Stegostoma tigrinum: one gene and its partner. The protein of the gene in region 1 purifies or fractionates together with the protein of each later gene. This does not show direct contact. Links are inferred from orthologs where the notes say so. Each region holds a gene or a part of one and is shown on either strand. Other genes may lie near its edges. The genes, in order: retreg3 and receptor expression-enhancing protein 1-like.

Region 1 (3,920 bases):
TCTTGTTTCCTCATGCTTTTATGTTTTTTAGAACTGTGCAATTTAGACTATATTGTCTCACCTTATCTCTTTTCAAAGTGTGTCACCTTATATTTCCTTGGTATTAAATTTCATTAGACTACTCAGCCCACTGTCCTAGCCTACATCCTTTTCCAGTTAACTGGTACCATCCTCACTGTCAATCACACCTCCAAGTTGGTATCATCAGCAAATATCAAAATGTTACTCTGTATTCCAATGTAGAAGACATTTAATGTAAATCGTGGCATGCAGATTAACCCAACATGTACGACTATTTTTTTGTCACCAAAATGCATGTTCAGGACTATATTTAACACATAAATCAACATCTATTTTGAGCTCATACACATTAAAGGCTATTCTCCATGCATGGAACCAGGCAAGTAATATGCGTCATGTTGCCAAGATGGTGCATGGAAACTTAAATTATGCCCAAACGATGCATACCACACATGGTGATCAAATTAATGGAAAAGGTTCCCACTTGCAAAAGAACAAAGCAGTTTTAAAGGTGAATGTAGATGTTGCAGCATTGCAACTACCCAAACTTGTGGAAATTTGATATGTCCTGGCCAGAAAACCCAGGAAACACTCCAACCTGGTCAAGTAGTCTCCATCATCAGCAAAGTGATGGAAGGGGTCACAAACTATTGACTTAACTCGAATGTATCAGTTACAAAAGCTACTTCATCTCTAGAAGAAATTATCTGCTCTGTCAACCAGCTTCAAATATTTGTCATTTCTAGACTCATTTATTTCAATGTCCCACATTTCCCTTCATTCGAAATAGCAATATCTTGTCCGTTTTCCCGTTGTTCTGGCTGTCCCTTGATCTAGCTGAATCCGACCGCCTTTCCATTTGGTTCACTACATTTCAATTTGTTATCCAAACCCAATCACTTGCACCAACCTTTTCTAACTGCTTGAAACCTCTGAAAGACAGACACAGTGCTCTTGTCCTAAATCCGTCTCACACATAAAGGCTGCTGTTGAGTTTTAGAATAGATACTCCGAGTAGAAAGGGTTTGTATCGAGTCCGGGGGGATGGTATACCACAGATATTGACAACGTCGGTGGGCAGTTGTTGGATTCTGCCAGGCTCCGCTTCACGACGAACCCTGACTGACAACAACTCGACGGCGGGTAGTGGGTGACCACCAGGGCCTTATCCCAGGCCCGAACCGGACTCACACTATTCTCCTGCACACCAGGACTAAAGGCGACACAAAACACCCAGTAACTAAGTGGCTCGCCCACCACGTTACCATTCACGGTCCCAATCCCCGCCGGCCCCTGCCTTACTTTGGTTGCCACACTGGCCGAGCTGCAAAGTGATAATTTCCCGAGGCATCGCCGCCGCTCGTCCCGCCAACTGCATAGAGCATGCGCAGAGTAACACCCGCGGTCCGTTTATAGCGTATTGTCAAACCGATCCCATTCTCGTTTATCCGAATGTCAGCTCAGATTCATCTCGATTTTATACAGCTTACTCAGCAAAGTAAACCGGGACGTGTGTGTATTTACAACTTTCTGAACCAGTGTTTTCGGGCTTCACGAGCCGATTCGATGCTTATTTAATTTTTTTCAATGATATAACCATGGATAATTAATATTCATATGTTTCTGTCAATATTCATGAAGACTATTAATATTCACATTCAGACAGAGCGTCACCAAGATGGCGGCTGAGCGAGCGAGTGCGGGGCCTGAGGGCAGCGATCGGGAATCAGCCCCGGCCCCACAACCCGAGTCTGAGCACCGGCTCCGGCAGCAGCAGCTTCTCCGCATTCTGGGTCATTACGAGCCCGTGTTGACTTATTGGCAGAGTGTGTTGGTGTGGGAGAGGCCGCTGCACAGCCTGTTTCTATACCTGAGCGTCAACGCCAGTTTCTGGTAAGGGCGGGGGGAGGTGGGTAGGCCTGTGTTGTTGATTGGAAAAGGGATTCTATCGGCCATCGGCCCCTCTCTCTGCCGCCGAAAAACACAGGGACCAACACCTTAGTGTCAAAGGCAGAAGTTTTCACAGCGCAGAAAGAGCACCCCCCCCCCCCCCCCCCGTGGCCTTGCCGATCATCCAACGCTCATCAATTCTAATCCGACTTGCCAGCATTTAGCCGGTAACCTTGAATTTTATGGCGTTTCAAGGGTTCATGTAAATTGTTATTAAAAAATCTTGGAGGTTCCTGCTTATACCATTCTTTTAGCAGTGAGTTCCACATACCACACTCAAGGTGAAAAAAAAATCAGAAGTCCCCTCGAAAATGCCTTAAAAATTGTTGAGTTGTTGTTGTTAAAAAGTGTTTCCTGGCTATTGGACACTGCCACGGTGAAAGACTTCTCCCTGTCTTGTTAGTCTTCCCAAAATGCATCACCTCCCTTTTCCAGATTAACTTCCCTTTGCCAATTTCAATCCATTTGACCAGCCCATCTATATTGAGTTATATTCTAAGGCTTCTCGCCTTGCTATTTAGTGCTAGCCTAAGAGTAAAACCAGAAAATGGTGAAAATAGTCAGCAAATCAGGCAGTGTTTGTAATTAAGAAATTGGCATTAAATGTGTTGGGTCACCACTGTTTGAAAAAACATTGTATTTGCAGCGATTTACTCTGACATAATTTGTGTTTTGCATTGTTTCCACATAACCATCCTGCTCTGGATTCTGAGTACCCACAAGAAAGCGTACTTGGGACACCTGCTTCACAAGTTTATCTACCTGTCACATTACCTTATGCACGCCAAGCTCTCTCCGTTCCTCTACATTGCTTAGAATAATTTCTTTTGTTGTGTTTTTCCTTGGTTTTCTTCCTTCCTAAATGCATAATCTCATCTACATTCTATTTGCCACTTTTCTGTAATATCTCTTACCTATTTCTTCACTGTCAACAATTTGTACAATCTATAAACTACTCCACTTAGGCCTTTAAATCATTAATATGTATCGCAAAAGTATTCTGAACTGTGAGGGGAAATAATGATGGACTTCAATAAAATTTAGGGGCAGATATGCAACAGATTAAATTTGATGTAGTGAAAGATGCAGTGATATGTTTTGATAGCGATAATGAGGATAGGTAATATTATTTTAAATAATGTAGTTCTAAAGGAGGAAGATGACTAACCAAGGAAATTAAGGAGAGTATTAAGTTAAAAGAAAAAGCATGCAAGGTGGTAAAAGTCAATGATCATTCCAAAGCCTAGGATAAACTCAGAATCCAACAAAAAAGGACTTAAAAAAAATAGAGAGGAAATAAACTATGAGGGCAAAGTAGCGAGGAATAAGAGCAGAGATCTAGGGTTGATTATTTCAATAACATCAATGAACAACTTTAATGCTCAGCTGATTAAAGGGGCACTAACAAAAATCATAATTTGAAAGGAAACTTGTTATGATACAGTAACATGTTGGAGGTTGGTGACGTACACCAGCTGCTCCAGCACACACCTGTAAGAACTGGGGTACATGTGTGCACATCATTAAATGTACATTGCAGTTTGAGAAAGTTGTTACAAAGACATAAGGATCCTGGTACTATAAATATTGGGGTCAACCTGAAATCCTTAATCTGTTTCTCTAAGTGGATGTTTATAGTGTTCTTAGAAAATAATTAATCTGCTTTATCTTTACAAGCCAGTAGCTAGCAGAAAACATCAGTCTCTTGTTTTAATTTTTGAAACAAGCTGCTGTTCAAAGTTAAATTCTCAACGGCAACTTTCAGATCCAATCCAGAAATGAGAAAAATATGATTGTTTCAAGAGTCTGTTATCTTAAGACGATTAATAACACCTCTATGCTCTTTTTTTTCTGCTGAGAAACTCGTTCTCTGAAAAACTTAAGGACCTTTGGCCCCATGGATTCTGAACTGGCTTGCCCGTAGAAGGCAGAGGGTAGTGGTGAAAGGG
Region 2 (3,920 bases), on another chromosome or scaffold:
CATTTAAGAACTATTAAGATGAGTCAATGGTTATTTCATGACCAGCATGGATACGAAAGGCTTCTTCTTGCACTGTAAAAAGTCTTTATGATAATGGTCACCGTCATTTGAGATTAGATTTAAATTCCACACATTTTTGAATGATTTTAATTCCACAAGCTAGTCAGAGGCTTTGAATGCTTGTCATGAGAGCATCATCGTAGGCCTCTGGATACCGAGTAAACTTGGTATATCACTACCCCTGAAAGTTGATCCTTAAGCATAATGTTTTAGTTCCTCAGCTGGCAGGAACTGGAATATTGTGCCAAACGGCAAAATGCATCCGGCTTTGTGGATGAGGCTCGTGTAAACAGCACCAACTGGGTGGATCAGACGCTAAGTGGGTGCTTGCCTTGGAAAGGCCAATGCAGATAAGGGGCTGAATGGCCTCTTCCAATGTTTGGACCATTTCTCCGATTCAGATGAGCGCAAAAGACTGCCCCAGTTCTTCCACTTTTCGTTGCCTTATGCCAGTGAAAAACAGTCGCTGAGATCAGGTCCCCCGGCATCACCACGGCCATTCAACTCCTCGAGCCACGTCAATACTCACTTGTGCTTACGTAACAACACCGACCGGCAGGTCACAAGCGCAGGCGCAGAGGCATCCCCACCCACCCCAGAAAGCCACAAGGAGCGCCAACGTCGAGCGGACCTTGGTGGCAGGGAGCTGATGGGACCCCGCCAGGGCTAACGAGGAGCAGGGTACGCACGCGCAAACCGCCGCTTGCTTGCGTGCCCCGCCCCGGAGTTGAACAAAAGCGGACTCTAAGAGACCGCCTGTTACCTACGGGAGGTGAGGCAGAAGCACGGACGTGACTACTTTCCCTATTCATGTTTAAAAAGGAAAGGTTCGGGAGAACGGAAAATTACAGAAGAGGGGCCATTTCGCTCGCTTACCTTTTGTTCCCCGCCCACAGCGCCGCGCGAGATCAAAGTGAACCCGCCCCCCCGGGGGTGTGTGTGTGTGGCGGGGCGGGGGAAAACAAGGCGTCACCGAGAGCAAATTCAAACCAGAGCACCAACCGGGCAAGTGCTGACAGGTGCCGACCTTCCCTCTGTGTGAGAAACCGAACCGGATAGGAGCAGTCAGGCTCGGCGTGGTGCTGCTGCTCCTCCCCCCCCCCCCCCCCCTCAGTGCACGGTAACACGGCTCGCGAAGGGGCACTCGGACGGTTCTGGAATCCCCGGGAGCTGCGCGTGCCGCTCACCAACGGTCGGCGTTGACTTTTGAATATAATATATATATATTTCAACCGTCGCTGGCGAGCTTCCTAACATGGTGTCGTGGCTCATCTCCAGGCTGATCGTGTAAGTCGGATTCCCCCCACCCCGTCTGCTTTCCTTAGATTGAGGTGTAGAGCTGGATGAACACAGCAGGCTAAGCAGCATCAGAGGAGCATGGACCCTGAGGAAGGGTCTAGGCGCGGAACGTCAGCTTTCCTGCACCCCCTGATGCTCCTTGGCCTGCTGCGTTCATCCACTCTCTGCAACTTATCTCCGATTCTCCAGCAGTTCCTTCTATCTCTGCCTGCCTTTCTTTGTTTGTCTGCGTTTGCTTTCTTCTCTCCCCACCACCCCCCACTCCTAACAGCCACCTGGCGTTCCCGACTCCCTCGTTGTCGTGAATTCCACAACTTTTGTTTTGCGTACACGTCCGTTTGAAATTTTGGCTTGTAGCTGCGGAGGTGTTGCAGTCGTTGACGAGATCTCGAGACGTTTTATTCCCACCTTACTTGTATACATTTTTTTTTAAAAAAACACGAAAAGGTTGTTCACTTCCTTTTGGAATCTTCACACTTGTCACCAAGGCGAATTAGAAAGCCGTCTTTGGTGGCCTTCCTCCTTGAATTTGACTGTTTCGGTTTAGAGCAGTTGACCATCTGTGACGGTTTTCAGCTTTGCGAAACATGATGAAGGGGTGGGTTACACGTTCAGTTGCTTGGGATCACGAGGTGGCGATGAGTGCCTGTTGGAGTGTCTCCAACAAATTGGAACCGAGCCTTTGTTAAATCGCCTTTTTTAATACATCCCGTTTCTCCTATAGGGCTGAACTCTTTGCAGCCTGTGCTTTCCCATGGTTAAGGTGTATTCACTTCAGTTTTCCACTTTGCTCTCAATTAGTTGAGTACACAGATGATTTGTAAAAAAACAAAATTTTCCCTTTCACCTTTGTGGTTTTCTGCCCCTTGTTAATCACTTCTTAGTTTCTAATGAACTATCATCCCAAGACACTTGCAGTGAAGGTACATCAGCGTTTTGCTCTGAAGTCCAGTGTTCTGCGTGACTCGTCAAATGACTTGTATGTCCTGCTCCTGTAGCCTGAATCTAAGTCACGTTGATCTGTGACTTGATTCATTGATGGTCTGATTTTTTTTTTGTTTTGGCAATACTCTTCAGTGCCAGCCCTGGGATCCTGTGGTGTGAGTCACACTACAGCCACCTTGACCCAGTAAGGCTTTTGTTTTTTAAAGGAGTTGGGTTGGGGACAATGACAGGATTTTGTGTTATAAATTGTGACCGCTTACTAAAAACTACCCATTCAGTCCCCCGAGGTTCTCGTTTTTAAGTGAAATGATGTGTGCTGACCCACGAGTTGTGGCTGCATTGTGGCATTTTTAAGGAAAACGTGAAGGAAAGAAAAGTGCTGTGGATGCTGTCAATGGGGAGCTAAAGCAGAAGTTGCTGGAAGTGCAGCAGGTTGGGCAGCATCTGTGAAGAAAAATCAGAGTTCGTGTTTTGGGTCCGGTGACGCTTCATCAGAATTCTCGTCTCAGATGCTGCTCAATCTGCTGAGCTTCCAGGAATTTGTTTTTGTTCAAAACTTGAGAAAGCTGAGTTAGATACAAATTTAGCTGGCATGTACTGCAGATTTTTGTGGCTGCCATTTACTTGAAGTTTTTCTGAATTTAATGATTGAATTGTAGAATCCTACAGTAATGCAGAGTGAGTTAACTTCCTGTGTGGGCTTAGGGTACTGTAAAGGATTTTCTTTAATTTCTTTACCTTGTCTGAGGCAGGGTCATTCTCATGAAACAACCACCACCACCACTTTGGATCAACATGCTAGGGTATATGATTCTGTTAGTCTCATTCATATTTGTGCACACAGAATCACCACCGTATTTGGAGCCTTGCTCGTGTCAAACAGTAATTTTAAACACATTGTGAAGTACATGATCAACAATTGTGTGGACTCAAGCCATTCTTAACTGACTCAACTGAGGGGACACTGTACTACAGTGAGCTGACTTGCCTATCCCCTTTCCTGCACAATGTTGGGTGTTGGGTTGACAGCAGGTGGAGCGTTGCTGTTTTCAGCTTGTCAGCATTCAACCCCTGAATGTGATTGCAAGACAAACAATTCTTCTGTCAACAAATACAGGTAAGCATGGCTGTTCATTTAACAGCATTCCCACAACAATGATATAGGATAGACAGAGCTCTAAACTGCAAACACACAGCAACCATTTAGTATGCACTATGTTATCTTATTTACCTAAAATCTTGTGAGGCAGTTTAAATAGTTTGCTCATTCCAAATGTGGAACACCACCCAGCAAGATAATTATATGCTTAACATGATGCGTGTTTGCTCATGCACATGCTGAGCTTAAAACATTTGCACTGGTGATAGAAGTCATTGGAGAAATGAGAGAACGTGAATCTGCTCCTCCAGTCAACAGTTACCAGAGGGTAGAAATGATCAAACCCAGAAGGGACAGCAGTTTTGAACACTCATTTGGAGAGCGTTGAGAGAAGTATGCTTCAAATGACGAAGCCAATTAACAGCAAGCGTCATTGTTAACACTTATTTGAGGTTTGGAAAGCATTGCCAAGTCTCTGAGAAAGATAACTAGTACTCTGAGATAGTAGGTTTTGTTT

Evidence for each region.
Region 2: the proteins of retreg3 (region 1) and receptor expression-enhancing protein 1-like purify together in Homo sapiens (affinity purification with mass spectrometry; 3 studies listed by BioGRID and IntAct, with this or other methods). This does not show direct contact. The link is inferred for Stegostoma tigrinum from reciprocal best matches to the Homo sapiens genes RETREG3 and REEP4.

The regions. Positions count from the first base shown.
Region 1 is NC_081384.1:200,762-204,681, reverse strand, and holds the start of retreg3 (reticulophagy regulator 3), read left to right. Parts: upstream 1-1,407; 5' UTR 1,408-1,533; exon of another isoform or gene 1,534-1,683; 5' UTR 1,684-1,699; coding exon 1,700-1,914; exon of another isoform or gene 1,915-1,922; intron 1,923-3,920. Other genes in the region: tubg1 (tubulin gamma-1 chain), read right to left, coding at 1,324-1,399. UniProt on the Homo sapiens protein: Endoplasmic reticulum (ER)-anchored autophagy regulator which exists in an inactive state under basal conditions but is activated following cellular stress.
Region 2 is NC_081393.1:8,318,030-8,321,949, reverse strand, and holds the start of receptor expression-enhancing protein 1-like, read left to right. Parts: upstream 1-839; 5' UTR 840-1,315; coding exon 1,316-1,347; intron 1,348-3,920. UniProt on the Homo sapiens protein: Microtubule-binding protein required to ensure proper cell division and nuclear envelope reassembly by sequestering the endoplasmic reticulum away from chromosomes during mitosis.